Cricetulus griseus: one gene and its partner. The protein of the gene in region 2 interacts with the protein of the main gene of each other region in a pairwise test. Links are inferred from orthologs where the notes say so. Each region holds a gene or a part of one and is shown on either strand. Other genes may lie near its edges. The genes, in order: Asb9 and creatine kinase M-type.

What was found.
Region 1: the proteins of creatine kinase M-type (region 2) and Asb9 interact in binary tests that used the Homo sapiens proteins (3 or more experiments, as listed by UniProt). The two-hybrid records come from large-scale screens. The link is inferred for Cricetulus griseus from reciprocal best matches to the Homo sapiens genes CKM and ASB9.

Annotation. Positions count from the first base shown.
Region 1 is NC_048604.1:99,617,093-99,632,298, reverse strand, and holds the end of Asb9 (ankyrin repeat and SOCS box protein 9), read right to left. Parts: intron 12,144-15,206; coding exon 12,036-12,143; intron 9,769-12,035; coding exon 9,618-9,768; intron 6,984-9,617; coding exon 6,849-6,983; intron 5,105-6,848; coding exon 4,913-5,104; intron 1,154-4,912; coding exon 1,029-1,153; downstream 1-1,028. UniProt on the Homo sapiens protein: Substrate-recognition component of a cullin-5-RING E3 ubiquitin-protein ligase complex (ECS complex, also named CRL5 complex), which mediates the ubiquitination and subsequent proteasomal degradation of target proteins.
Region 2 is NC_048602.1:27,929,343-27,944,211, forward strand, and holds the end of creatine kinase M-type, read right to left. Parts: coding exon 14,791-14,869; intron 14,140-14,790; coding exon 13,985-14,139; intron 13,624-13,984; coding exon 13,491-13,623; intron 11,300-13,490; coding exon 11,128-11,299; intron 9,851-11,127; coding exon 9,727-9,850; intron 7,921-9,726; coding exon 7,731-7,920; intron 6,337-7,730; coding exon 6,158-6,336; downstream 1-6,157. Other genes in the region: Mark4 (MAP/microtubule affinity-regulating kinase 4), read left to right, coding at 1,464-1,800. UniProt on the Homo sapiens protein: Reversibly catalyzes the transfer of phosphate between ATP and various phosphogens (e.g. creatine phosphate).

The DNA of each region.
Region 1 (15,206 bases), on a different chromosome or scaffold from region 2:
GAGTAGGTTATAATAAACACATTTGATATGTGGCTGATGACACTGAGATGAAGTTTTCACTTTACATTGATTTAATTAATTCTGTTTTTTTAAATTCACCATCTTTGTGCACTTCAGGGTTTCTCAACTTAGACACCATTTGCATGTTGACCTGAATAATGCTTTATTGTGGGTGAGGGGCTATTCTGTGAGCAAGTGATGGTTAGGGGAACCCTGGCCTCTGTCCAGCTGTCTGTCAAATTATGAACTGAGATTACCCAGTAGTACAAATCTCCTTAGTAAAGACAACTAAAAATGCATGCAGCCATTGTTAATATCCCAAGTTGGGGGGCAGGGGGCTGAAAAATCACCCACGACTGAAAGCCCTAAACAGTAGCTACTATATTCCACAGCAGGGTTCTAGAATGTTTTGAATGTGCATATGGGATTTGGGATGGAGTAAAACTTGCTTCTATAGCTAATACAGTTACATCTGTGTCATAAAGTGAGAAAAGGTTAATACATAGATACAAACAAAGAAACATTGTTCTTGTCTCCCTTTCCATACCATGGAGATGGAGCCAGAACATAAAATTCTGCTTAGCTAAAATTGTCCAGGTTAACAGCAGCCAATTTACGTTTATATCTGGCTCCTCTGTCCTTGATCTGGGTAATTGGATATATTGATCAGTCTGAGCTTCAGTGTATTACCTAGCAAAGGTAATACAGTAAATAGTACCCACCCGGGCAGTTTGTATGAAGGCTCGATTAAATGATGCATAACGTGTTCCTTGCTTCATTCTTGCCAAGTAGGACATGTTCAAAACCAATAGCTAATTTTTAAGCAGAGGACAGTCTTCACACTCTCTAACCAGTAACACAAAAGACCCAGTGGGTTCCCATTTTTAAAAATAATGATCTAACAGGAAAAAATGTAAAAGAAAACATTAGTCAAACATTCAAACATTATCAACAAGTTTATTTGAAACTCCAGTGGTCAAAGTTTCAACAACCTTTTTCGGTTGTTTGTGAATCCACTCCTTACACAACTAAAGGTGTAAAAGAAAGCGCTTCAGGTCTTCCGGGAGGAAGAGTGCAGCAATCTTATGATGCTGCCGAATGCCGAAGCATTTCCTGATTCTCAGGCGGCATAACTGCATCAAAGACTCAGGACCTGGAGAAAGAGCATGGGACAAGTCACACATTGACTTCGCTGACCTAGGACTGCCTTTTAAAATCATGCAATGTATAATAATATCCTTATACAGAAATACTGCATGCTTAAGACTATGTTCCCTTGTTTTTTTGTTTTTTTTTCTGATTATAATATAGTTACATTAATTCCCCCTTCCCCTTCCTCCCACCAAACATTCCTGTATACCTCTCCTTGTTCTCTTTGAAATTGTTATGTGCATCTATAAAGGGGCATTCTGAGACCAAGTTCTGTTTTCCTGTATTTAACTGAAGTAAAATCTATGTTTTAAGCTTTACTTTTATGTTTATCTATATATATGTATATACATGGAGTGTGGGTACAAGCATGAGGGTATCTATGGAAGCCATAAGAGGACACAGGATCATCTGCAGCTGGAATTACAGGAGGTTGTAAGCTGCCAGATGCAGGTGCTGGGAGCAGAACCCCAATCCTTTGCAATAGCAGGAAGCACTCTTAACTGCTCAGCCATCTCTGTCCCTCACTGGATTTTAATTTATGACAGAGTAAAAGAAATGTAAAAGTTACCCTCATTAAGAGAGGCAAAAGGAAACTAACTTGGAAATTAAATAGCTACACAAAAATTTGAATCATAAAAAATAGAATTCATGCTTCAGGGTGCTGTCTTTTACCTTAAAAATTAAATCATATTTCTAGATGCAAGTACATCTATGTTATAATTTTAACAACTTAAAGATATTCAAATATACTAAGTTCCAAATGAATCATAAGTTCATGTTATTTAGTTGTGTTTCCTTTTCTGTTCTGCATTCTAAGTTATCCAAAAGCTTCATCTCATGGGTGAAAACTCAACTAACATAAACTCGCACAGAGAACCCAAGAGTTTAAATTTTAGGATGGTGGTTCTCAACAGGCTGGGTAGGGGAAAAGAAAAGTGAGGTATTTTCTTCCTGGAGTCAGGAGCACAGCACTGTCAATGACTCCAACTGTCAATGGTACCAAGGTTTAGAACCCCTATTATAGAATAAAAGGGAAGTATAATCACCCATCCCCACCCCCACTCTTTGTACCAAATTAAAATGGAAATTATTTTTGCTATTTTTTAAAGAAAACTATATACCCTTAATAATTGCATGAAACAGTAGCCTTCAATCTAGTATGCAATTTAGATTTGGCTGGAGTTGGGGAAGTTTAAACTGTGTCCCGGCCCAGAGACACTGCTTCAGTTATCATTAGTTTGTGCCTGTGCATCTAGATTTTGTTAAAGCCATGGGCTCCAGGTCATTTTATTGTGAAATCAGTCTTGAAACTACAATTGAAATGATACTACAGCCCCTACTGTCCTGTAGCCTCACTGCAAGCTCCAGATGAACTTAGTTATGGGTCTCTCAAGTGATGGAACACAAGAAGTGAAAACAAACAGTCAAAAAAATGTAAGCTCCAGCTAGAGCCCTGACAGCACTTTCTAGAAGGTACAGCTCGAAGTCGGGGCACCTTTCAGACTATGTTCAAGGCATAGACCAGCACACTTCACAGTGTATACTTAGGGAGCAACATGTATGTGCCAGTGCTGGAGGGTGTGACTCCTGAAATCCTTTCCCTTGGCTTCCAAGAAAAGTGAGATCCCCACCTTCCCTAACTTCCATGCCAAGCCAACTCAGAGCACAGTTAAGTTCAGCTTATATTCCCCAGTCCCCACACCCTGGAAGGACAGTGATTTAATTAAGTTGCCTCCCTGAGCACAGAGAGTCAGGTAAGCTGAATCAGCAAGGAGACCCAGCGTCAGAAAAAGAAACTGGTGTGTTATATCTGCAGCTCTAACTTTGTGCTTGCATGGAACTGTTTCTGGTGGCCTACTGTCCTGCTAAGAAGTGGCCTCATCAGAATCCTAAAAGTGACTCATGAAGGCAAAATGGAGGTGATTTTCTTCTGTGGCAAATTATATTTTGTTGGTTTGGGGTCCTTAGGATGGAATGTAGCACCTTTCATTGTAGCAAGGGTGTGCTTCACTGCCATGCTGTACCCCTAAACCAGTAGGATCATAGGCCTACTGTCATCATTCCAAGTGTGAAATGAGGAAATTAAGGATAACGTAGGTCTCTATGAATAGCTCTGGGGAATAGAGTAGAAAGAAAACACCAAGCTGGGCATGATGGTGCACACCTTCAATCCCAACAGTAAGGCAGAGGCAAGGATATCTCTGCGAGTTCAAGTCTAGCCTGATCTACATAGCAAGTTCAAAGACAGCCAGGGCTACACAGATAGACCCTGTCTCAAAAAATTTAAAAAGGAAAATATCAGTGAAAACAATCTGAAAATCTTATGACTCATCCCACTGTGTGACTTCAAAGGACCCTGAGGCACAGCTGCCTCTGGGTAACACATTTCCAATAAAAAATATTAAAACATTTTATAGCTATGTAAGTATAAAGATGAATATAATTCTGGTTAGGATTTATTCATCTTCCTTCTTGTTTTAATAAGAATTAATTAAAATATTTCTGTGGGCTCTGAGAGACTATAAGAGAAAGTGACCCTGTGTGTATACATAGGACTTTTTTAAAACAAGAAATCTTCAAAATGCAGGCAGAAATGCCCAATGATTATCCAACTGTTTAACAGAAAGAGGCCTCTAGTTGATTCCTTCCGCCTACATCAGTCTTCCTTAGCCTGTGCTGCAATGCTAAAGAGTGCAGGCAACTGCAAGATGGGCAATTGCCCTGGGGCAGTGGGAGTAGGAGGAAGTCTTTGGCCCACTTTATCATTCTGCCCAACTTCAGGCCTACTTCTCAGCATGTGGGTAGAAAATAACCAGTTTATTGACATCAGAGTCCTTCAGGTATGGAGACCTGCTTCAGAGTCCCATAGTCCAAAAACAGCACAATCAACACTCTGGTAAGAATGCAGGTACTGAATTGCCTTCAGGAACAACTGACAATGCAATCAGGTATCCTCACAACCTAAAAGGACTCTTTGCTCTAAGAAATGCCCCTTCTCCTGTGCATACCACTGTGTAGTTATTTGGAAGAGCAGTGTGAGGTCTTATTTATGGAGGAGTGTACATAATTTGCAAGAGTAAATGTATCTTGATTGGTGTGAATCATTAAACAAATACCCTAAACTCTCAGTTAGCTTCATCTTAATCCCAGCAATCAATTACTCCTAGGTTTGGCTGATGTATGGAGCAGTTAGACATCTTGGGGAATCAGACAATGCCTAGAAGGCTTCTGCTGAATTACTGTAAAGGAGTGGTTCTCACTCTGTGGGTCACGAACTCTGTAGGGGTAGAATGACCCTTTCAAGAGGTCACTTAAGTTCATCAGAAAACACAGATATTTACATTACAATTCATAACAGTAGCAAAATTACAGTTACGAAGTAGTGGCAACATAATTTCATGGTTGGGGGTCACAACAACATGAGGAACTATTTTAAAGGGTCAAAGCTTTAGGAAGGTTGAGAACCACTACTCTAAAGCATGCTTCGGTTAACTTAAATATCAAATACTTTTTAACAATAGCCTGACCTCCTTAAAAACTGGCCTAACAGCCTGATTCCAACATATTCAACAACAACAGGCTATTTACTTCATAAACAGTGTTGTGCCCTATGGAATTATCTCAGGTTCCCCATGCATGGTGATGGCAGAGAGCAATCTTTTCCAGGACTGGAAGTCAGAACTTAGGAAATGCCTGCCTCCTACTAAAGATCAAAGAAGTCTTAGGAGTTAGAGCTGAGATTTGGGCAAAGGAGAGGCACCTTCTCTCTCCAAGAAGATCTCAGTCACAGGACTCTCCCGAGGCACCAAGTCCACAGGACGTTTTCCTTCAGCGTTCCTAGCTTGAACATTTGCTCCGAAGTCCATCAGTAGGTATACCAGCTCCCCAAAAGACATCCTGGCCACTACATGAAGAGGGGATTCCAAGCCTTTGCCTTTATTCACAGATGCTCCTAAATGGTCACAAGAACAAAACATGGAGTGTCAAAAGTGTTTAAAATGGGGAATCCATGATGAACATGATTCTGTGAGATTGTGAACTGGTCTGACTTTATATCATTTACTATAGTAACAGGGAAACTGGGCACTGGATATACAGCTCTGTTGGCAAAGTGCTTGCCATCCAAGTATGAGAATCTGTGTTGAATCCCCACCACCCAGAGAAAACTGTGAGTGTGGAAGCACATGCTTGTGGTCCTAGCATGCTGAGGAGTGGGGACTGGAAGACCCTTGAAGCCAGCTGAGCTTAATCATTGAGTTCCAGGTCCTAGTGAGAGCATGAGCTCTGAACATTAAGCTGGATGGTTAAGGTTGACCTCTGGCCTCCAGGTGAGCATAAACACACACACACACACACACACACACACACACACACACACACACACACACACACACACACACACACACAACCCTCCCCACATAAACATGCACACTCTTACACAAATATAATAAAAGGAAAATAGTATTTGACAATGTGACTGAAAGTACAATGTGAGCTGTGTAACATATGGAGGTACCAACTCGACACAGAGTACTCTTCATGGGCATAATACAATCAAGAAATATCTGAGTAGCATGAAAGTTGCATATTCATTATTAATGCAGTGTAAGTACTAGTAAAGACTTACACTGTGTACATCATGAAGCCAGATTCATACACTGAGCAGCCAGCACTGCATTTAAAGCCACGGGACTTGCGACTGTGTGAGCTGGATCATTAAACACAACCAATTAAGGGGGCATTTTTCCTAAGTTGGAAAAATGGATCCTGTTATCACAGGAAGGGTTGCAAGTTCTCTTTAGGAGGAAGGTGGATTTCTGGGGCTATCCCCACCAAACTCTAGTTACCCTCTAAATAAAACCCCATCCCAGCTCAGAGTCTGCTTCTCACTGAGGTATATTCAGGCTCAGACTTTCACCTGAGCGGATGTCCCTCCACAAAAACCGATGCCCAAGCAACAAACATTCATTGAATTGTTTTTAAATAATTTTTTTTTACTTTGTGAGAGATGCCAAAGACGGCCCTGTCCTGGATAACAGATTTAAATATCTCAAAGCTTAAAATCTACCTAAAAGTAGTAATAGGAAGGAGTGAGAGTGGCAGAGAAAATGGTGAATAAGAAAAGAAATAGGGAACACAAGAACAGTCAGTGTGGGGGGAATGACTCTGGAGTCTTAAAGGAAGAACAGAATTCAGAAAATTAAAGAGTTGGAACAGTGTTCCCAGTGTTGAGAAGAAGGGACAGCTGTAGGGAGATATGGAATGATAGAACATCTCTTCATGGAAAGGATAATGTTTATGGCGGACTAATTTCCTAATCAGAAAGAAACACGGAAGATAGTCCCAAATCGGAAGAGTCAGCTAAAACCCATTGGCTTTGCAAGCTTTGTAGAGCTGAATCACGATTGCCCAGCTAGAGAGAGGCAGAGTAAAGGATAGATCAACTAGTGATAAATGAGGACCACCCTGGAAGAAGGCATGGGTGGTATACATCATCACCTTCTTCTTCATTGTCATGCTAGTTAGAAGTGAGAAAACACAAGTGTGAATGGTGTAAAACAACTCCTCATGAGGACAATGTATGTCTCAAGCCCCTTGCTCACACTCTTCCCTTTAGTATGACACCAGGATCTTCAAGATTCACTTAATTTGCTTTTCATTTTCATGCCTTATTTTGTTTTGCTGTTTTGCCTTACCTAACTCCAGAAGCTTCTTGGCGCAGGCTAGCTGCTGGTTTTTGCAAGCGATATATAGAGGAGTACCCAGGTGGCTGATGTTATAGTCAATATTGGCACCATAATCTGCAAGGGACTCGATGCATTTCACATGACCTACAGTCCAAAAAAGAAGAAAAGGGTTACTGCACAAATTCCCTAAACAAAAGTCCCTATTTTTGTGTGTTTAAATGAATCCCCAACACATCCAGCAATCAAAAGCCATATTCTTTGTTTGTTTTTGTTTTTTATTTTTTTATATATGTGAATTACAAACAAGATTGAATTACATGATGAACCCAGTTCCCTTCTCCCTCCCTTCCTCCTCTACCACCCCCCCAACTAAAATCCTACCTATCATATGTCCTTTCTTCTAATCTACACCTGATTCAAAATTTCTGCTTCCTCATGACCTCTGCATCCTTCCTTTTCTTCCCTTCTCACTCTCATAGCTTCCTCCCCCCTCTTCCCATGTTCTCAATTTGCTCAGGAGATAAAAGCCATATTCTTTTACTTAAAATGGAAAATAATTTTAAACACTGGCATCAGAGTAAATGTCTGTTCAAAAGTCCATTAGGTCAGCTCACCCAGCCATTCCATGAAGAGGAGAATCAGGCTTTTGCCTTGGTTCATCAAAACGAAAGGAGGGTCAGCCAAAGAACAGGATCCAACCATCAACATCCACAGCTGCAGATGGAACAGCACCTGCATTCACTAGCCATAGAAACCAACCAGCATCCACTCACCTTTATCAATTGTTTGTGTGCTTGTAAGAGCCATGGAGCAACAGGACTAAAAATGGTCCTGAAGAAAGACATGGAATGTATCACAGGACAGGGCAGGAAGCTTACAGCCTGCAAAGGCTGGAGGAATAGGCCACAATAAGCACAAGCAAATCTTAAACACTGCCAAATCCCATGGGAGCAAGGCCCAGTCTGGCAAACGAAGTTTGTTCAAAGTAGATTCACTCTGCCTTGGCCCAGAATGCCATATTTTAAACACCACCCTTTGGGGTCTCATGTTGAACCATTTTAATTGTATGTATCCAGTAAACATGTTGAGTTAATATGGCTCTTCATAAAGAAACCACAATGATTTCCCAGTTAATTACAACATTGGTTGGTCTGGTTGAATGCAAAGCCATTCTAGAAAGGCCCTGGGGAAACAGAAAGCCCTCCAGCAAAGTATAGACATGCAGGTGATGCTAAACACCAGAGAAAAGCAAAAATTCAAACTGTACTTTATAGAAAGATTTACCCTCTTGTGACAACTGTTAACTTGACAGAATCTAGAATCAGCTAGAAGGCAAGCATCCAGGCACACTTGTGAGGAATTATCTAGATTAAGGTTGGCCTCTGAGAATTTCTCTGAAGGATTAGCTTGATTACTGTTAATTAGTATTTGAGACTCATCTTAACTGTAGGTGGGACCATTGCCTGGGCAGGAGAAATCAAGCTAAGCATCATGTGTGTATCCATCATTCTCCACTTCCTGGTTGGAGATGCCACATGACCAGCTGCTTCATGCTCCCACTGCCTTGAATTCCCCACCGTGATAGGCTGTACTTAGAACTGTAAGCTAAAATCAGTCCTTTCTCCCTTAAGTTGCTTCCATCAGAGGTCAGAGTATTTTAGCATGGCAACAGGAAAAAAAACTAAGATCATCCCTGAACTGATAAAAAGTCTTATAGATTTCCTCAAGCTGAAAATATGTTTCACTTTTCAAAATTAGATGACCCCAAGCCACTGTTGATACCCTAAAATAGAAAATGATTGTTTTGTAAAGCACACAACAAATGCTGGTAAGGGACCCTTATCCACTGTAGGTGGGGATGTAAACTAGGATACCCACAATGGAAATCATTATGGAGGTCTCCCAGATAAACTGCAGTGAAATTACCAGACAACTTGGCTGTACCAACACTACTGGGTATATACTAAAGGAACCTGAGCCAATGTACCACAATAGTCAATGATATGGAATTAGCCCAGTTCTCCATTAGTAGCTGAATGGATAAAAAATTATGGTAAATGTATAACACAGAGTTTTGTTGTGACATAAAGAATGGGATTATATTGTTCACATGAAAATGAGTGTAATTGGAGATCACCATACTAAGCAAAATAAGGCAAACCCAGAAAGACAAATACAAAATATACAATCACTCATATGTGGAACCTAGATTATATATGTGTGTTCAAACACACATACACACACACACACACACACACACACACACACACACACACACACACACCATAAAAGTAGAAGGGGGTCTACTTGGGAAGAGAAAGACAGGCAAGAGAGAGAAATGAATATGATTGAATATGACTGAGGGTTGAATATGATTGAGATACATGATAGCCTTGAATGAAAATGTTAGTATGAATCCTTTTGCTTCATACAATTAATTATGGACTAACAAAAACCCTTGATTTCTATGGGATCAAGTATTCCACAAAGATCCATAGTGTAGTCTAGTACGTACCATCCCTTGTTATGAAAATATATCTCTGAAAGGGTGCTTCTCAAACTTAACTGTGGATCAGAACACCCTGGAGATATTTGGATTAAACAGGGCTAGAGCAGAGCCTCCGAGTCTTTCTTCACAAGCCTGGTCATATGGACGCTCCTACTACCAGGCGCCCTTTGAAAACTATTGCACTAAAATGTCCCTCTTCTTTCCCATTTCAGTAGTAAGAGTGTCCTCGAAGGACTGGGTAAAAACCCTCACATTCCAGATGGATTTACCTCTCTTTGCAGCCTCGTGGATGGGAGAGGCCAGATCACTCTCAGGATGGGGAGCTGCTCCATGATCCAGAAGGAGAGTCACGCAATCGTGGTTGCCACCGAGGCAGGCATTATACAAGGGTGTTCTCCAGTCTATGGCTATGCCATTCACCTGTGAAGAAAACCCAACTCCAGGATGAAGACAGTGACTGATGTGGATTGAACTCAAGGTTAACCCTCTCACTTTCAAAGGGTTTTTTAACTTCTCTTGAGCCTTAAGGTCCATCTTCTTATATAAAATGAGGACCACCAAACTGTCATTAAAAAAGCAAATGAAGTATAAAATACAAGGCAGTCATAACGTTATTGAAGATTCCATCTCCTCCCTGCCTTCCTTGGGATCATGAACTTTAAAACTAGTTACGATAATTTCCGTAGCATAGCTTACAAATTAACGTTTCCATTTTAAACATCCATCCTAGACAGTAGCCAGAGTAAGCTAAAATTGATTTTTTAAAAAGACTATTTTTTTTTTACTTAAAGGTTTGATTCTCATGCAAATATGATTCACACACCAAAGAATTTATTCAATTCATTCACTAACCAGAGGAGTGGTAAGATGGTAGGGTCGGATCAAAGAAGTATTTATACAGTCTGTCAATATGCTACTTAAATATGCTGGCAAACAGATATACAACTGGTTAACAAGACTGTAAAATTATAGATTCTGGAGATTTTTTTCTTATGTTAGAACTGTCACAGAAGTTTACAAACTAAGATCCATATCATTATGCTTGGGCTACAAACACTAGATAGCAAGCCCAGACATACACGGACTTTTCTATCTTGTCATATACTCTGATGTATCTGTTAAATGAAGATATTGTGGGGAAAAAACCGAATTCACTACCACACCCTCTTCCCAAGGAAGGCCCAGACCTAAAAAACATACAGGAGATGCTCACTCTGGAGTTCCCATAGTGCCACAGGACCACAGAGTGACTGTTTCTTTAACGTTTCCATCCCAGTTGCCTATTTTGCCTCCCCTTAGCCTTGGCCCTGTTTTCATCATAACTCAAAAGAAACCTTCTCACCCAACTATTCTCCTGCCATAAACACGGTTGGCAAAATTTGGCCAATTTTACTTCCAGGCTTTTGGGTCAGTTGTGTCTCTCGCATTAGAAGTCTTTACCTTCCTTTATTTCACCATTTGGCTGACTGGTTCCTTCTCTTTTAGATTAGACATCATTTCCTGAAGAAAGTCCCTTTTGATTGACCCACTGGAAATAGATGAACACTTCTATGTGCTCCCAATAATCCCTGTTAATCCTATGACGCCTTGTTAGTTTGCAAACTGGCCAGAGGCTCTTTCTATCCCACAGTGCGAATTCCGTTACAATATGGCACGTCAGCCATTCCCATCACAAGATGGAGGCTATTTTTCCAATACCTGAATCTGGGATTGCTTCTGTGGCTTACTCTGCCAATATGACAATAACAAATGTGAAACAAGAGAAGAGCCTGCCTTCTTTTGCTGCCCTTGCAATCCCTGCTCTCCTTTGAACAAATACAGAATGAGAGATTTCAGAGATGTTCTTATTCTGACATGCTGACCATCCCTAGTTGAATCTCTCACCTTTTCTGCAGCATTTCATTCCCTGTTACCCAGAGACATGTAGGTAGAGAGCTTACAATTATGAAACACTACTTATTAATGCTGTCTGATAAGGAAAATGCTTCAGACTCTAAACATGATTTTTGTGGTGGTTTGAATTAGAAATACCCCCATAGGCCAGAAGGTGGTGATGCACACCTTTAATCCCAGCACTTGGGAGGCAGAGGCAGGGGAATCTCTAAGTTGGAGGCCAGCCTGGTGTACAAAGTGAAATCCAGGACAGCCAAGGCTACACAGAGTCCCTGTCTCAGAAAAAAGAGAAGACAAGCCCTCCATAGGCTCTGGTATTTGAACACTTAGTCCCTAGTTGGTGAGACCATTTGAGGTGATGCTGTGGCCTTGCTGGAGGAAGTCTGTCCTTGAACCATTTGAACCACTTCCTTTTTCTGCTTCCTGTTTGGTTTTGAAGATATGAGCTCTGAGCTTCCCACTTCTGCTGTGGTGCCTGCTGCTTGCAGTCATGCCTCTGCATCATGGACACTTATTCCTCTGGAACCACGAGCCCAAATAAATTCTTCCATCCCTGAGTTACTTCTGGTCATGGTGTTTTATCACAGCAACAGGAAAGTAACTAATATAACTTTCTAGGTAAAAAAGGAAGTATTTCACCTCTTGGCAAAGCACATGCACTTAGGCATAATACTCTTGAAAAGTACATTTCAAATCAGACTAATCAAAGGTACTGGAAATTATTCAGAGGGAAACAAATAGCCAGTTTTGATTTTTTTGATACTGTTTGTTTCTATTATTTAAGCTTCACTTACCTGAGCTCCATGACTCAGTAAAACACTTGCACAAGAAAAATGTCCTCTCAGACACGCTTCATGGAGTGGAGACACATGATCGGCCGTGATGATGTTTACAGGCCATCCCTACAAGAAGAGAAAATGGCTCAAAATGGGGGAGAAGACAATCAGGCTGGTTTTCAGCTATATAGTTCAAGAACTGTGTGTATTCTCTGAAAAGTTAAATCATATGGTCAGGTAAAAAAAAAAAATGTCTACTTTAGTAGACATTCACTGTAGCATAAAAACAAAAAGACAAGAAAAACAGCCCATCACAGGGTACAATTGAGAGCCTAATATAAGATAACCACAAAAGAAATGACTTTTCCAGGATCTACTGAAGCCAGCAACTCAATAATTTCACTCTTCATTATATGCACTCAAGAGACAGATTGCCTAGGCATCTAGGGAGGTAGTTCAATTGATAAAATACTTGCCGCTCTGCTTGATTTAACACTGGCTTCACCAAGAACTTACTGAGACAGGGTAGTGAGGGGAAGCATCCATGAGCCTCTGCTTGCCTGGCTCATGTGGGTGTGACTTGGAAGCCCTCCAGTGAGTCTTGTCTCCTGGTAGTAATGGCCTGTGGACTTGACTCCCCTTTAATGAGGTATCTGCTGATGCTGCTGCTTCCTCCTCTTCTTTCTTCCTTTTCCTCCTCCTCCTCCATCCTTCCCTCTTTCTTCTCTCTTCCTCCTGGGCTCTTCCATTGTTCTTCCTCTCTCTTCCTCCTCCTGTCCTACCTCTCTCCCCCCTCAACTGTTCTTCCATACTCTTCCTCCTCCCTTCCACTCTCTCTCTCTCTTCCCCTTCTCCTTCTCTCTTCCTCCTCCTCATCTTTTTGCATATGCTAAGCCACTACTCTACCTCAGAGCTACATTCAGACCAAGCTTTGCTTCTAATTAAGAAAATATACAAAGATGATAAAAGGTTGTTTCCAAGATTAAACAACTTTTATTTGGCTCACTCACTTTAGTGTTGGCATCACTTCTTGACCTATCCTAGTGAAGTCCTTGATAAGAAAACAAGGGTGGCCCCCACCCAGCAACCAGTCAGGAAGTGAGACCCTCAGTCCAACAACTTAGTTGGTTCTTGAGCTTGGATACAGATCTTCAGTTACTCAAGCCTTAGGATGACTGCAGAGTACTGACACCAGCAAAATATTGTGTAAACCCTGACAAAGTCTGTAAAAAAGCCACATGTGTGTTGCTTCATGTTGCTAACTTTGGAGCATTTTTTTACACAGCAAGTGATGTGGGCCAAAGGATACATAACCAAAGCAATAGGTAAAACTCCGTAGATAAAAGGTCCCAAGTCAAAGGGACAATTTCACTCCCACACCAGGCCCCTGAAGTCTGGAAATGCAAAGAAATCTGAAAGTTTAGCCTCAGGATCCATCACCCTCTGGGGAAATGTATAGTCCAAGAGATAGTAGACCATGAGCCCAATTCCAGAAAAACATGTGAAGAAATCTAGGAGCAGCTCTACAGCCTCAGCTCCACCCCCATCTTAGAGCACATTGTCCTGGGAGACACGGATACAATAAAAGTACTTTTTAATCCATATATGCTGGGTTTTTTGGAATTGTGTGTGTGTGTGTGTGTGTACATGTGTGGTTACATGTGTAGGTGTGCAAATATGATGTAGACACACACACACACACACACACACACACACACACACACACACACACACACACGTGTTCTGGTGCATGTTTCCTACTTTATCACAACCCTGATTATCCCCTAGCGACAGGGTCTTTCACTGAACCTGGAGTCCAAAAGTCCCAGTAATCCTTCTGTCTCTTCCCTCCCTACCCCCTACAGTGCTGAGGTTGCAGGTCCATGTGACCAACCAAGCTTTTCTCATGGGTTCTAGAGATCTGAACTCAGTTCCTCATATTTGCATAGCAAATGCTCTTATCCAGTGAGATGTCTCCCTAGTCCTTATTCATGGCTAATTTAATCAATGACTCAAATATGTATTATAATGTTTCTTCCTGGAATAGTATAAAATTGCCCAAAATTGTTTCAATAAATGGTCTTACTTTCCATTAGTCCCGACACGTAGTTTTCTACTTCTATGGGCATTTATGAGTGGGCCAGCCATTAATCATCCTGGGCTTTTGGCTTTTACCTTCTGATCAGCAGGGTCACACATTTTGAGATATCAAGTCATTCTGTGCTTACACCCCAGTGCACAGGGGCTCAGATCCACAGCCTGGGAAAGTGTTCTGGGAGATTTGCCATAATATACTTGTAAATGAGCAGCCCCAATGCTCTTGACAGTCTTTCTCCATCCCCACTCTGATGTTTACAGGGAAGGAAGAGCCTGTAGCTTCCCTTCCTCCAGAACCTCAAATCCCATCTGGACATGATGGCTCTTCAAAACATGGCTCCCTGTGCCCTGACACCAGAAGAACTTAACTTACTGAATTTATTCCTTCCCAAGTATCACCATGGACTTTACAACATGACACTCGCTATTTTACTATTGCCATTATCATTTGTTCATTTTAGTGCTTTCACTAAATGGTGAAATTTTCACTAAATAGTGCTTTCACCTCAAATCTTCTGCCTGTGTTTGATTTTCATTCTTAATGTTCTCCCATTTGTGTAAGCTACACCATTCACCCTGTAGCAAGTGGGAAAATTCATGGCGAAGCTGTTAACTGCAAATTTAGGCCTGGTGGCACAGGCTTGCAGTTTCAACTGCTTAGGAGACTGAGATGGGAAGACCGAACTGACAAAGCCTGCCTGGGCTCCAGAGCAAAGTTCAAAGGCTAGCACCAGTAACTTAATGAAACCCTGACTCAGAATAAAAAGGCTGGTAGCATAGGTTAGTAGTAGATTGCCTGCTAAGCATGTGTAAGGCCCTAGGTTCAAACACACACACACACACACACACACACACACACACACACACACACACACACACACGGCATTTTTACCTGTGCAACAAATCATGAAATGAAAGACAAACGTCCTTTTAACAAAATGTTTTACTTGTTTTGGTATTATAAAAGGTAGCCCTCTAGACCTCTAGCTATGGCCACCATTTCAAAGTCAGCATTTGGGAACTTGTGTATAAACTCAGGAAAGCACGAGGCAACACAGAAATTAGTCCCAATGTGGAATCTTTTCACCATAC
Region 2 (14,869 bases):
GCTGGAACATCCTGGGACCCCCCTCCCTCCACTTGCGCTGTGTCTGTACCTCCCCGGGGCTGTCAGGGTTTTGAGCCCTGTCCCACCTGCAGCCCAAGGTCCCTCTAATATTTGCACCTCTTCTGTGTTACCCGCGTCTTTTATGCATTGCCTGCAGGGTATAGGCAAACCCAGCCACACGATAGCTAAGTGTCCATGCAGACTCCGCCTGCAAATACTTTTGAAAGCCTATCTCAGTTATTCCTGCTGGGTTCTGCCATTCTAGGACAAAAGAAGCCATAGCTTCTGTGAAAACAGATATCACGGTGTTATAATAAAACACTATATCCATGCTGGCTGTAGTCATGCAGATCTGCCAGTCCCAGCACCTTGGAGGCTGAGACAGGAGGAATGCAATTCAAAGTCTGCCAAGGCTACAAGAGCTCAAGGCCAGCCTTGGGCAAATTAGTAAGATCCTGTCTCAAATTTGAGGGTTGGTGGCTGAGATGTAACTTATTGGTAAAGCCCCTGCCTAGAATCCCCCAGTGAGGGGCTGGGGTATGACTCTGTGGCAGAGCCCCTGCCTAGAATCCCCCAGTGAGGGGCTGGGGGTGTGGCTCAGTGGTAGAGCCCCTGCCTAGAATCCCCCAGTGAGGGGCTGGGGGTGTGGCTCAGTGGTAGAGCCCCTGCCTAGAATCCCCCAGTGAGGGGCTGGGGGTGTGGCTCAGTGGTGGAGCCCCTGCCTAGAATCCCCCAGTGAGGGGCTTCAGGTATGGCTCAGTGTTGAGTGCTTACCCAGACTCCAGCCCCTACAATGAGAAAAAAGTTAATTTGTAGAGGTGTATTTCAATAAAACTGTACTTACAAAAGCAGGCAGTGTTACAGTTTGCACCACCCTGCTTAGTTTGACACACCACCAGTTCAGAATCCTCCACCATGTCTCATTGGCTGGGTATAGCTGACATGTCTGTCTCCAAACCAAAGTCTGTGGCCCAAAGAGTTCAGAGCGTTAATTGGTCAGCTTTGGTCATATGCTCATACGTGGCATGCACTTATTGGCCAGAACATTGACTATCCCAAACCAGAGTAATGAGAGGACCCTACTTTGCTAGAAGTTACCTGTGAGCCACCAAGGATGCCATTCCATGACTCAGGAGTCTGAGCGTGTGCTACACAGTGAGATCCTGTCACAAATAACAACAACAACAACAATAATAATATTATGTATACATATATACACATAGACAGGCATGGTGGTACATTCCTTTAATCCCAGAATTTGGGAGGCAGAAGCAGGCAGATCTCTGTGAGTTTCAGGCTAGCCGGGTCTACAGGGTGAATTTCACCGTTTTGGCCCACAGGTGGGGGTGGGTGTCTAGCTGGGAAATACAAGCTTGAGTGGCACTTCTTTGTCCCTGTGCCGATGGGAGTGGAAAAGTACGCCACCCCCCTGCCCTGTCTGATCCCTCCTGTACCCTCCTCAGTTGCCATCTACCTTGGGATAAAGCGGAAACCGCCCCCCGGCTGCTCCGATTCCCCTGGAGTGTGAAGCTGACCAGCTCTCGTCCTCCCGAGGCCCTGATGGCTGCCCTGCGACAAGCCACCGCAGCTGCCCGCTGCCGGTGCCGTCAGCCGCAGCCGTTCCTGCTGGCCTGCCTGCACGGGGGTGCGGGCGGGCCCGAGCCCCTGTCCCATTTCGAAGTAGAGGTGTGCCAGCTGCCCCGGCCCGGCCTCAGGGGCGTCCTCTTCCGCCGAGTGGCAGGCACCGCCCTGGCCTTCCGCACCCTCGTCACCCGCATCTCCAACGACCTCGAACTCTGAGCCACCAACACCACCACCGCCACCGCCACAGCCACCATCACAGCCTGGGTCCCTTCCTCTTTCTCTGGTCCCTTCCACTTACCCAAGAGGGGAGGAGGACAGAGGAGGGGGTGCCCCGTATCTTGACCTCAGTTTCCCCATGTTAGATAGGTGGACGGAGGCAGGCAGTCCTCTTGGCTATCACGGAGATAAAATAAGGTTCCGCAGTGGGAGCTGGTGGCACCCTCCTGGGCCTCTAGTGCCACACCCCGCACCTTGCTCTACTGCAGGGAGACTGAGGAGACTTTGGAGACAGGAGTGAGAAGGGAAAGTGAAGAAATTCTCCCATTCAGGGAGACAGAACTTGGGGTGCAGGGAGTGGGGGGTCACAGGCAGAAACCTTCCCCTCCCTCCCCTTTATGCTCGAACTCCCTTCCTGCCCCAGGCTGGCGCAGGGCACTTTGTACAAACCCCTGTATATACTCCTGTCCCTCTGCAGAGGTCTCTTGGGGAGCTGCCGCTGTCACCTCTGGTTTTTAAGTTATTGCCCACCCCCCTTCTGTCAGCTCCTCATCTGCAGCCTGTTACCCAATAAATAGTAGGAGAGTCCCTCTGGCCCCCAAACCCCTCCCTGGCCGATCTGGGGTTTTCCTTCCCGGCCCTTGGCCTGCAGGTGAGCCAGGGAGCTGGGGACTTGACCCCAACCTGTGGTTCTGCTTGCTGAGCCTTGGTTATCCCATCTGCAGAATGGGAAAGTGGGGTTGGAGGGTCAAGGATGGCTATGGAAGAGGGCAGAACAGAGTTCAGCCTCCTCTGTGAGGCCCGGGTGTTCTGTCAAACCCTCCTCTTGGCCACTCTCTCCCCTCTGCCGAATTACACTGGACTGAAACCTTCTTCCTTCAGTAACACATGTATTCAATAAACACTCAATGACTGGTGCCCACTCCACGCTGGCCCAGTTCTGGACACGAGTACAGAGCCCGTCTGTGGGGGAGGGGCTGGAGGTAACGAGAGCCCTGTACAGGCCACAGGAAAAGGAGGCCTTGGGAAGAAATTCTGTGGCTTGTAGCTGTGGCTCAGTTGGTACAGTGCTTGCCTAGTGGGCCCCAAATTCCATTCTTATTCTGCAAAAAATCACTTGTATTGGTAGTGGTGGTGCATGGTCTTAACCCCAGCACTCAGGAGGCAGAGGCCAGCCTGGTCTACAGATCAAGTTCCAGGACAGACAGGGTTCCACAGGAAAACCCTGTCTGGAAAAAGATGTCTGTGTGTCTGGCCTGTGATCCCAGCATGTGTGTGTTGGAGGCAAGATATGGGCCATGCTGGGATACATGAAACAACCCCACAAAAAATGTTTTCACAGAAACCTGCCAGTGCCAATGGCTTTGCCCTGGAGCCCTAAATTAAGTCTTGCCAGTTGTCCCCAACCTAACCAAAGTAGTATTTGTCTTTTGACACTTGAAAGCATCAGGCTCATCTCATTGTGTAGCCCAGGCTAGCCTTTCACTTGCCAATAGTGTATTGTATGGGGAACAGCCACAGCCCTGCCTTCGTGGGACCTGCATCCCAGAAGAGGCCTGGCTGGGGTATTTATTCTTTTCCAGCAGGGAGCCCTGGTGAGACTGTCCACATGGAAGCTGGGTGGTGGGTGGGTCAGGAGGCAAAGCAGACACGGGACAGACAGACTAAACTCAGTAATTCTTTGTCTTCAATAATGGCCGTGAGTGGTAGTAGTGTACGCCTTTAATTTTGGAGCCTATCCTGGCACTCACTCTGTAGACCCGAGTGCTGGAATTACAGGCGTGCGCCACCAACGACTGGCTTGTTATTTTGTTTTTGAGACAAGGTCTTTCTACATAGTCATGGCTGTCCTGGAACTTACTATGTAGACCAGGCTAGTCTTGAACTCACACAGATCTTTCTGCCTCTGCCGTCCAAGTACTGGAGTAAAAGGTGGGCACCACCACACCTGGCTGACCTTGAACTTCTAATTTGTTTTTCACCCCCTGAATACTGGGATTATAGGTGTACGCCACCATACCTGTGCTGGGGACCCCATCCAGGGCTTCCTACATGCCAGACAAACCTGCTACCAAATGACCTTTGACTCTTGCTCTCCACACTTAGCCATTTCCACCTTGGCTACATCTCTGCCTGAGTTTCTGCCTCCCGGTGGATGGTGCTGGTTGGACCTTCACTAGGAAGTCCTTAGGGTTGGGATCTTTATTCCCAGGAAAGGACCAGAAGGCATTTGGGGGGCAAGTATCTGAACTGAGAGTAACAGAAGTCCATTATCGTGCCAGGCATGCCAGCTCACCCCTAAGCCCCAGCAGATAAGGAGGTAGCTGCAGCTGGATCTATGTCAGTTTGAGGCTAGCCTGGCCTACACATGAGTGCCCTATAATCCCAGAATTTGGGAGGCAGAGGCTAGAGGATCAAGAGTTCAAAGCCAGCCTTGGCTACATAGCATTGGAGATCAGTCTGGGCAACCTGAGGCCCTGCCTGAAGACAACCCAAAAGCTACGCGGCAGTGTGCCACGCATCTGTAACCGCATCTGAGTTGTCACAGAGACTGTCTCAAAACAAAAGGACATAGGTTGAAAGCCCTTAGAGCTGGGCTACAGTAGCAGCAGCCTATAATCCCAGCACTCAGGAGGCTGAGGCAGGAGGATTGCCAAAAGTCCAAGGGAAGGCAGTGACAAATAGCAAGACCAGGTCTTAAAGAAAGATGGCTGGGGGGCTGGAGAGATGGCTCAGAGGTTAAGAGCACCGACTACTCTTCCAGAGGTCCTGAGTTCAATTCCCAGCAACCACATGGTGGCTCCCAACCATCCGTTATGAGATCTGGTGCCCTCTTCTGGTGTGCAGATAGACATGGAAGCAGAATGTTGTATACATAATAAAAATCTAAAAAAAAAAAAAAAAAAAAAGATGGCTTGCCGGGCGTTGGTGGCGCACGCCTTTAATCCCAGCACTCTGGAGGCAGAGGCAGGCGGATCTCTGTGAGTTTGAGGCCAGCCTGGTCTACAAGAGTGAGTGCCAGGATAGGTTCCCATGCCACACAGGGAAACCCTGTCTCAAAAAAAAAAAAAAATCAACAAAAATGTCAAGGTTATTCTCGGATCTATAGTGAGTTAGAAGCCAACTTGGGCTACATGAGACCCTGACCTTGAAGGAGCAGCAGCCACAGACGGGAACTGAGGTATGTTTGCTGGTTTTTCCACTACATTTGTGTATATGGAAGGAACACCTTTGTCTAGACAACTCAGTGTGGGGAGTTGGTTCTTTCCTTCTTGACACGGGCTCTGGGATCAATCTCCCACCATCTGGCTAGTGCCCCTAGCACTCTTCACCTTGTGAGCTGCCTCTACTGCCTGCCATCTCTGCTGAGCATGGTGGGGTCTGCCTGCCATCCCAGGATTCAGGAGGCTGAGGCAGGGGGTAAATAATGCAAGTTTGAGGCCAGCCTGGGCTATGTAGTAAGTGCATATAACACACACACACACACACACACACACACACACACACGCGCGCGCGCGCGCGCGCGCGCGCGCGCGAGCCAAGCATGGTGGTGGTGCACTCCTCTAACCCCAGTAGAATCAGGAGGATTTGAAATCCAAGGCCGTGGCTGCAGAGATGGCTCAGAGGTGAAGAGCACCGACTGCTCTTCCAGAGGTCCTGAGTTCAATTCCCAGTAACCACATGGTGGCTCACAGCCATCCGTTATGAGATCTGGTGCCCTCTTCTGGTGTGCAGTTAGACATGGAAGCAGAATGTTGCATACATAAGAAATAAATAAAATCTTTAAAAAAAGAAAAAAATCCAAGGCCATCCTCAGCTACACAGGGAATCCGAGGCCAGCCTGGGTGCATGAGAGGCATTCTCAAAAGGGCAACAACAAAAACCTGGCAGCTGGCCGGGCCGTTGGTGGCGCACGCCTTTAATCCCAGCACTCGGGAGGCAGAGTCAGGCGGATCTCTGTGAGTTCGAGGCCAGCCTGGTCTACAGAGCGAGTTCCAGGACAGGCTCCAAAGCCACAGAGAAACCCTGTCTCCAAAAACAAACAAAAAAACAAAAAAAAAAAAACAAACTGGCAGCTAGAGAGGCCCGAAGACAGGAAGCCAGTGAGCCGCGTGAGATGCAAGCCATGGTGGCTGGATGCCGAGGTCCCCGCTCCCCGCTCCCTGTCCCCTCAGTAGCTGTCGCACTCCAAGCTAAGGCCACCACGGGATTTTATTTGAGACTGGGGGGGCTCGGGGAGCAGCGGGGTCTCCCGCTGCGCTCGCCCAGGCGGTGCTCAGGCTGGTGGGCGGGGCTCCGGAGAGGCGGTTTCTCATTGGCCAGAAGCCAGAGGCGGGGAGCGCAGCGGCGGCGGCGCCTACTTCTGCGCGGGGATCATGTCGTCGATGGGCTGGCCCTTCTCCAGCTTCTTCTCCATCTCCACCATGAGCTTCACGCCGTCCACCACCAGCTGCACCTGCTCCACCTCGGAGGAGCCCAGCCGATCGGCGTTGGAGATGTCGAACACGGCGCCCACGGCCGCGGTGTCCACGCCACCTGCGCGGGACGGAGCACGGGTCCCCCGGGGCCACCGAGGCGTGAGCGGCGCGCAGAGGCGCAGCGACGCCCGTGCCCACCTGCGGGAGCCGCGGGACGGGAGCCCGCCGCCCTGCACCCCCCCGCCCCCCGGCTCCCCAGCCCGGGTTTCCCGGAGCGGTCCGCGCGCGCTCAAGCATCCAGAGTGACAGCCGGAGCCACGACCGCAGACCCCCGACGACCCGAGTTCAGTTCCCAGGACCCACGTGGTGGAAGGGGAGAGCAGGCTTGTCCTCTGACCTCCTCCGCACCATGGGAATGCTCTCTCTCTCTCTCTCTCTCTCTCTCTCTCTCTCTCTCCTCTCTCTCTCTCTCTCTCTCTCTCTCTCTCTCTCTCTCGGATAAATGCATTTCATTTTTAAAATACGCCGGGCACGGGCTGGAGAGATGGCCCAGAGGTTAACAGCACCGACGGCTCTTCCAGAGGTCCTGAGTTCAGTTCCCAGCACCCACATGGTGGCTCACAGCCATCCGTTATGAGATCTGGTGCCCTCTGCTGGCCTGCAGGCTTACATGCAGACAGAATACTGTATATATAATAAATCTTAAAAAAAAAAAAAAAAAAAATGCCGGGCACGCCTGTGATCCCAGCACTCGGGAGGCAGAAGCAGGAGGAGCTCTGTGAGTTCCAGACCAGCCTGGTCTACTATAGAGCGGGTTCTGTAACTTTGAGATTTCGAGGCCAGACTGGACGTAAAAGCAAGTTTCAGACCAACCATAGCTCCAAGGTGAGACTGTGTCTCCGTATGCATGAGTGTGTGTGTGTGAGAAAGAGAGAGACAGAGACAGAGAGACAGACAGACAGACAGAGACGACAGAGAGACAGACAGAGACAGAGAGACAGACAGAGAGAGACAGAGAGACAGACAGACAGAGACAGACAGAGACGACAGAGAGACAGACAGAGAGAGAGAGACAGAGAGACAGACAGAGACAGAGAGACAGACAGACAGAGACAGAGAGACAGACAGAGATAAACAGAGACAGAGAGACAGAGAGACAGACAGAGAGGAGAGAGAGAATGCTAGTTAAAAGTGGCTGCCTGTGGTCCAATTGACCTCCCTCTATTTACAGACAGAATCGGAGGCCCCAGGGGAGAGTCAGGAACGGATATAAAATGCACATCAAATAGCTTTGAGCCGGGAACTGGCCGGGATGCCGCCTCCCCCTCCTCCCCCTCCTCCCCCTCCTCCCCCTCCCCCCTCCTCCTCCCCTCCTCCCTCCTCCCCCTGCCCCTCCTCTCCATCCCTCCTCCCCCTCCCCTCCTCTCCCCTCCTTCCCCTCCTCCCCCCTTCCCCCTCCTCTCCCTCCCCTCCCCCTCCTCCCCCTCCGCAGACATCGCGGGCGGGCCGCACCTGTGCCACGCTTCTGCAAGCGCAGGCGGGTGAGAATCTCCTCGAACTTGGCGTGTTTGCTCAGGTTGGCCAGCTTCACGTGCACGCCTCCGCGCAGCCCGGTGCCCAGGTTGGAGGGGCAGGTGAGCACGTAGCCCAGGTGCTCGTTCCACATGAAGGGGTGCCCAGCCTTCTTGAAGATCTCCTCAATCTGGGGAGGGCAGAGGGAGGGCACCAGGGGTTGGGGTCCCAATGCAGCCTGCCAGGAGGTGTCTGAGGGGCCAGGTGTCAGGGTATAGGTGCGGGTGGGGTTTCCAGCAGGGGGGAGTGGAGCACCGGCCGGAGGAGCTCTGGAGAGAGGACTCCCGCAGAGGTGGGGGCGGGCTTCAGACCCTGGGGGGGGGTGGGGCTTAGATGGGGGAGGGGCGGGGCTTCGGAAACGCGTGAGGTGGTACTGAAAGGCGGGGCTCAGGCATGGGCTGGGATTGGAATGTAGGTAGCTTGGAGTAGGGGTGTCTGAGTGTGGCGAAGGGTTCGGACCTTCTCGGGGGGAAATGGGTAGGGTGGAATCAGAAAGAGCAGAGCTTGCTTTGTCTGTGAGTATGCGTGTGTGTGTGTGTGCGCGCGCGTGAGAGCATGCGTGTGTATGGCTGTTTGTATGCATGTGTGTGTGTGTGCGAGCATGCGTGTATGACTGTATGCATGTGTGTGTGTATGTATGTGTCTATATATGTGTGTGTATATGACTGTGTGCATGTGTGTATGTATGTGTCTGTGTGTGTGTGTGTATGACTGTGTGCATGTGTGTATGTATGTGTCTGTGTGTGTGTGTGTATGACTGTGTGCATGTGTATGTATTATGTGTCTATGCGTGTGTATATGACTGTGTGTGTGCATGTGTGTAAGTATGTGTCTATGCATGTGTGTATACGTGCATGAGTGTGTGTATGCCTATGTGTGCGTTTGTGTGTATGTGTGTGCATGCGTGTGTGTGCGCGTGCGTGTGTGTATGACTCTGTGTGTGCATGTGTGTATGTATGTATGTGTCTATGTGTGTGTATATGACTGTGTGCATGTGTGTATGTATGTGTCTATGCGTGTGTGTACGTGCATGAGTGTGTGTATTCTATGTGTGCGCTTGTGTGTATGTGTGTGCATGCGTGTGTGTGCGCGTGTGTGTATGACTCTGTGTGTGCATGTGTGTATGTATGTATGTGTCTATGCGTATGTATATGACTGTGTGTGCATGTGTGTATTATGTATGTGTCTATGTGTACGTGCATGAGTGTGTGTATGCCTACGTGTGCGCTTGTGTGTATGTGTGTGCATGCGTGTGTGTATGACTCTGTGTGCATGTGTGTATGTATGTGTCTATGTGTGTGTGTATGACTGTGTGCATGTGTGTATGTATGTATATGTCTATGCGTATGTTACGTACATGAGTGTGTGTATGCCTATGTGTGTATGTGTGTGCATGCGTGTGTGTGCCTGTGTGTAGGACTCTGTGTATGTATGTGTGTGTGCATGTGTGTATGTATGTATGTGTCTATGCGTGTGTATATGACTGTGCGTGTGCATGTGTGTATGTATGTATGTGTCTATGTGTGTGTGTATGACTGTGTGCATGTGTGTATGTATGTATGTGTCTATGCGTGTGTATATGACTGTGTGTGTGCATGTGTGTATGTATGTATGTGTCTATGCGTGTGTGTACGTGCATGAGTGTGTGTATGCCTATGTGTATATGTGTGTGCATGCGTGTGTGCGCGTGTGTGTATATACATGGTGTGCATGCGTGTCTATGCATGTGTGTATGCATATGTGTGTGTATGTATGAATGTAAGAGGCAGAGATTGGAAAGTGGGTGGGAAAAGCAGTGGGGGGTTTGGTGGGAGGAAGGAAAGGAGTCTTAGGCACTGGCGTGGTGGATTGGAAGGGCGGGCTGGGTCTAGGAAGGATGTAGCTTTACAGAGCGGTCAGGATGCAGCCCCAGTGAGCGCGGAGGGCGGACACCCACCTTCTGCAGGCCCACGCAGAAGCGGCGGAAAACCTCCTTCATGTTGCCCCCCTTCTCCATGGAGATCACGCGGAGGTGGTCCTCCTCGTTCACCCACACCAGGAAGCTTTTGTTGTCGTTGTGCCTAACAAGGGGCAACCGGAGGCCTAAACGTCAGCAGGACGCCCAAGGCCCAGGAAAGCAACCGCACTCCAACGCAGTCCCTTCCTCTGGGCACCGGGGAAGGGAAAGAGGTGCACTGGATTCCCAGTCACTCCCGCCTTAGCTTGACTCCCTGACTTCCGGGCACCAGCCTGCTGTCTTGGCACCCAGAAGGCTGAGGCAGGACTATCTGGAGCGTGAGGCCAAGCTGGGCAACAGAGTGAGTTTGAGGCCAGCGTGGGATACAGTGGCAATGTCCCTCCTGCGACCCCAAGGTCACATCCACAATGTTTATCCCTTCTGATCTCAAGTTTCGAATTCCAGGATTCGGAGATTGCAGCCGTCTTCAACTTTTAAATTATTATTATTATTTTCGTCTTTTCATACATGTATTTTGTTGTACAATGGATTTTGGTAAAAATGGCCTTTACTGACCAAAATGATCCCTGTCATCTAGTGATCTTCCTGCTTAAGGCTGCTGGAGTAGCTGTTGCTACAGGTATGTAGGGTCGTACACACCTAGTAACAGAGCTGAGATTCGAACTGAGGGAGTGGTTCAAATATAAACATTTTATTTTGTTTTCTTTACCATACTGAGGATTAAATCTGGGCCCTATGCCAGTCAGATGCTCCACCACTGAGCCACGCCCCCAGCCCCTCACTGGGGGGATTCTAGGCAGGGGCTCTACCACTGAGCCACACCCCCAGCCCCTCACTGGGGGATTCTAGGCAGGGGCTCTACCACTGAGCCACACCCCCAGCCCCTCACTGGGTGAGTCTAGACAGGGGCTCTGCCACTGAGCTGTACACCACTCCAACTCTTTTCAGGTTTTTGATTTGGTTTGGTTTGGTTTTTTTGAGACAGGGTGCCTTTGTGTAGCTCTGGCTGTCCTAGAACTAGCTCTGTAGACCAGGCTGGCCTTGAACTTGCAGAGAGTCACCTGCCTCTGCCTCCGGAGTGCTGGGATTAAAGGCGTGCACCACCACTGGCTTCTTTTCAGTTTTTACTTGAGACCCAGTCTGGCTTCAAACTCACTGTAGTCTGGCTGGCTCTAAGCTTGAAACTTTCCTCCAAGGCCTCCCCAGTAGCAGGAACAAGAGGCCTTTGCAGCTAGGCCTGGCTAGTGTCAATTCCTCACAGTGCCTCTCTGACCCAGGTTTTCTAAACTATGACACCTGACCAGGGCTGTGCAGGGCTGGAAGGCAAGGTCATGGACTCTCGCCATGGAGAAGGGTTGGAGGAGCCAGGGAAGGACTCACCAGATGCCACGGGCGTCGGGCCAGTCCCGGGCCATGCCTGAGGCCAGCAGCAGAGGGGACACGGGCTTGTCAAACAGGAAGTGGTCGTCAATGAGCTGCTGCTGTTCCTGTTCTGTCATGCTCTTCAGAGGGTAGTACTTGCCCTTGAATTCGCCTGTCAGGCTGTTGAGAGCTGAGGGGCCACAGGGGAGCAATCAGTATCCTGCCTGACTTCAGCTGGGGGTACCAAGCCTGGAGAACCCCACATTGCTGCCCCCGACACCCTGGGCCTGGGCATCAAAGAGGTCTCCAAACCACTACACTCCACGTCTAAACCCAAATACATGTCCTCTTCCAAGAATTCATGGACGCTCCCCCCCATGTCCATGCCCCCTGTATGTCCCTGTCCCCTGTATGTCCCTGTCCCCTGTATGTCCCTGTCCCCTGTATGTCCCTGTCCCCTGTATGTCCCTGTCCCCTGTATGTCCCTGTCCCCTGTGTGTCCCTGTCCCCTGTGTGTCCCTGTCCCCTGTGTGTCCCTGTCCCCTGTATGTCCCTGTCCCCTGTATGTCCCTGTCCCCTGTATGTCCCTGTCCCTGTATGTCCCTGTCCCCTGTGTGTCCCTGTCCCCTGTGTGTCCCTGTCCCCTGTGTGTCCCTGTCCCCTGTGTGTCCCTGTCCCCTGTGTGTCCCTGTCCCCTGTATGTCCCTGTCCCCTGTATGTCCCTGTCCCTGTATGTCCCTGTCCCTGTATGTCCCTGTCCCCTGTATGTCCCTGTCCCCTGTGTGTCCCTGTCCTCTGTGTGTCCCTGTCCCCTGTATGTCCCTGTCCCCTGTATGTCCCTGTCCCCTGTATGTCCCTGTCCCTGTATGTCCCTGTCCCCTGTATGTCCCTGTCCCCTGTGTGTCCCTGTCCCCTGTATGTCCCTGTCCCCTGTGTGTCCCTGTCCCCTGTATGTCCCTGTCCCCTGTATGTCCCTGTCCCCTGTATGTCCCTGTCCCCTGTATGTCCCTGTCCCCTGTATGTCCCTGTCCCCTGTATGTCCCTGTCCCCTGTATATCCCTGTCCTCTGTGTGTCCCTGTCCCCTGTATGTCCCTGTCCCCTGTATGTCCCTGTCCCCTGTATATCCCTGTCCCCTGTATGTCCCTGTCACCTGTATGTCCCTGTCCCCAGGACATAGAGCAGAACCTCCCACCCAGTCCACCTGCAGGAGAGTGTGATTCCTGAACACAGCTCTCATTGTTTTTGTTTCTGAGACTGGATCTCATCGTGTAGCCTACACTGACCTCAAACCCACCGTGTGTGACTTAATCACAGAGGGCCACTCTCAGAATGGCCACTACAGGACTGGGAAGCAGAGGCAGGTGGATCACTGTAACTTTGAGGCCAGCCTGACCTACATAGTGAGTTTCAGGACAGTCAGGTCTATGTAGAGAGACCCTACCTCAAAAAATATTTTTTAAGAGAGGCCATTATAGAATTTACACTTTGTGCCGGCTAAGGGCACACACTTTTAATCCCAGCATTTGGGAGGCTGAGGCAGGAGGATTACTAGTTGGAGGGAGACTCAGGGAGTCTCTGTCTCAATGAAACAAAAGAGAAATTTGTGCCAGGTGGCCATGGCACATGCCTTTAATCCCAGCACTCGAGAGGCAGAGGCAGGCGGATCTCTGAGTTCGAGACCAGCCTGATCTACAAGAGCGAGTTCCAGGATAGGCTCCAAAAGCCACACAGAGAAACCCTGTCTTGAAAAACCAGGGGAGCGGGGAGCATGCAGTTGCAAAATTTGTTATTGTTTGCTTTGATTTCTTCATTTTGTTTTGGTTTTTTTTAAGGAGGGGTTTCAAGACAGGGTTTCTCTGTGTACCCCTGACTGTCCTGGAACTCACTCTGTAGACCAGGCTGGCCTTGAACTCACAAAGATCCTCCTGCCTCTGCCATCCCAGTGCTGGGATCAAAGGAGTGTGCCATCACCTCCTGGCCTGGTTTCTTGGTTTTGAGGCAGAGTTTCACTATGAATCCAGGCTGGTCTTCAGTTCACGGTGATCCTCCTGCCTCAGTCTTCAAAGTACTGGGATTACAAGCGTAAGGGTGCCAGGCTTAGGCCACCTAGCAGGAGCAACTCTGTTGGTTCTCAACCCCACTTTTCAGATTCGTAACCTTGTTGCCTCACCCATTCTGAGAAATCTCAGCTCCAACAATGTTTGCTGAATGAATGAATGGATCGCCGAATGAGTCAATGGGTAGCGTGCGAGCAACGAGTTTGAAGACCCTGGGTGGCTGAGTGCAGGACCTCCCAGGCTGCCTGCCTCAGTGCCCCCAAACCTGGAGCACAGGTAATGCAGCCCGAAGGGGACCCGGGTGCAGCTGTTGGGGACCTCACCTTCCACAGACAGCTTCTCCACAGCGCGGCGCTCTCCGCGGGAGCAGTGCGGGGGCAGCGTGTAGCCCTTGATGCTGCGGCCAGTGCGCACGCGGCTGCTCAGCACATAGTTGGGGTCCAGGTCGTCTCCGCCCTGGGGGAACGCTGGGGTGTCAGGGAAGGCAGACCTGGCCAGCCCTGGTCTCCCCAAGAACCTCGTGGGGCTCTCACTCCAGATCCTCCATGAGCCTTGCTGCAAACCTTCCAGAGTATCCCCAGTCCTCCTGGCTGTCCCCCATGTCTTCTGGGGTCTCCCCAGGGCTCCTTAGAGCTCCCCTAGATCCTTCCAGGTCCCCAGTTGACACTGAACTCCTCCTGTGCCCCACCCAGCCTCACTGGCCACCACCCCCACCTGCCCTCGGGACATTTTCCTGGGAGTCTGCTTCTCAGTCTGTCCCCCCATCTCTATTTGTCTCCCCATCTCTGTGCCTACCCCGCTTCTTGGGGCCACTGACCTTGAGGTTCTCGTGGTTGAGGTCGGTCTTATGCTTGTCTGTGGGTTTGTAGCCGCCGTGGCGGTCCTGGATGATGGGGTCAAACAGGTCCTTGAAGACTGTGTAGGACTCCTCATCACCGGCCACACAGCCCACCGTCATGATGAAGGGGTGACCTGCGGGGTGGGGCTGACGTCAGCACCGGGAGCTTAGGCTTGTGACAGCTATAGGTGTTCAATATGGGTAAAAGAGCCATCGCAGGCACCAGGTAAATGGGGCCCAAGATGTTGGGGCTTCTTGAAGTCCCCGGATGTAGCATCTCAGCCAAAAATGTTGAGCTCAAACAATCCACTTCCACAGAGGATCCAGGTAAGAGGCTTGAAGGATCCTTTCATGGGTGTGGACTGCAGTGCAGTGGTGGAGCCCCTGCCTAGAATTCCCCAGTGAGGGGCTGGGGGCGTGGCTCAGTGGTAGAGCCCCTGCCTAGAATTCCCCAGTGAGGGGCTGGGGTGTGGCTCAGTGGTAGAGCCCCTGCCTAGAATCCCCCAGTGAGGGGCTGGGGTGTGGCTCAGTGGTAGAGCCCCTGCCTAGAATCCCCCAGTGAGGGGCTGGGGTGTGGCTCAGTGGTAGAACCCCTGCCTAGAATCCCCCAGTGAGGGGTTGAGGGCGTGGCTCAGAGGTAGAATAGTTACCTAGCATGCAGGAAGTCCTAGATTTCATTCCAAGGAAGGGAGGGTGGGCGGGAGACGAGGCTCCCTGGGACAGGCAGGCTGGTATCTGCCCAGGGCCTCTAGCCCTCCGGTCTGTCTGTCCCACTGTAGGCTCACCTGGGTTGTCCACCCCAGTCTGGATGACGTCATCCAGAGTGAAGCCAGAAGGGGTCTCCTTATCTCGTAGCTTCTTGTA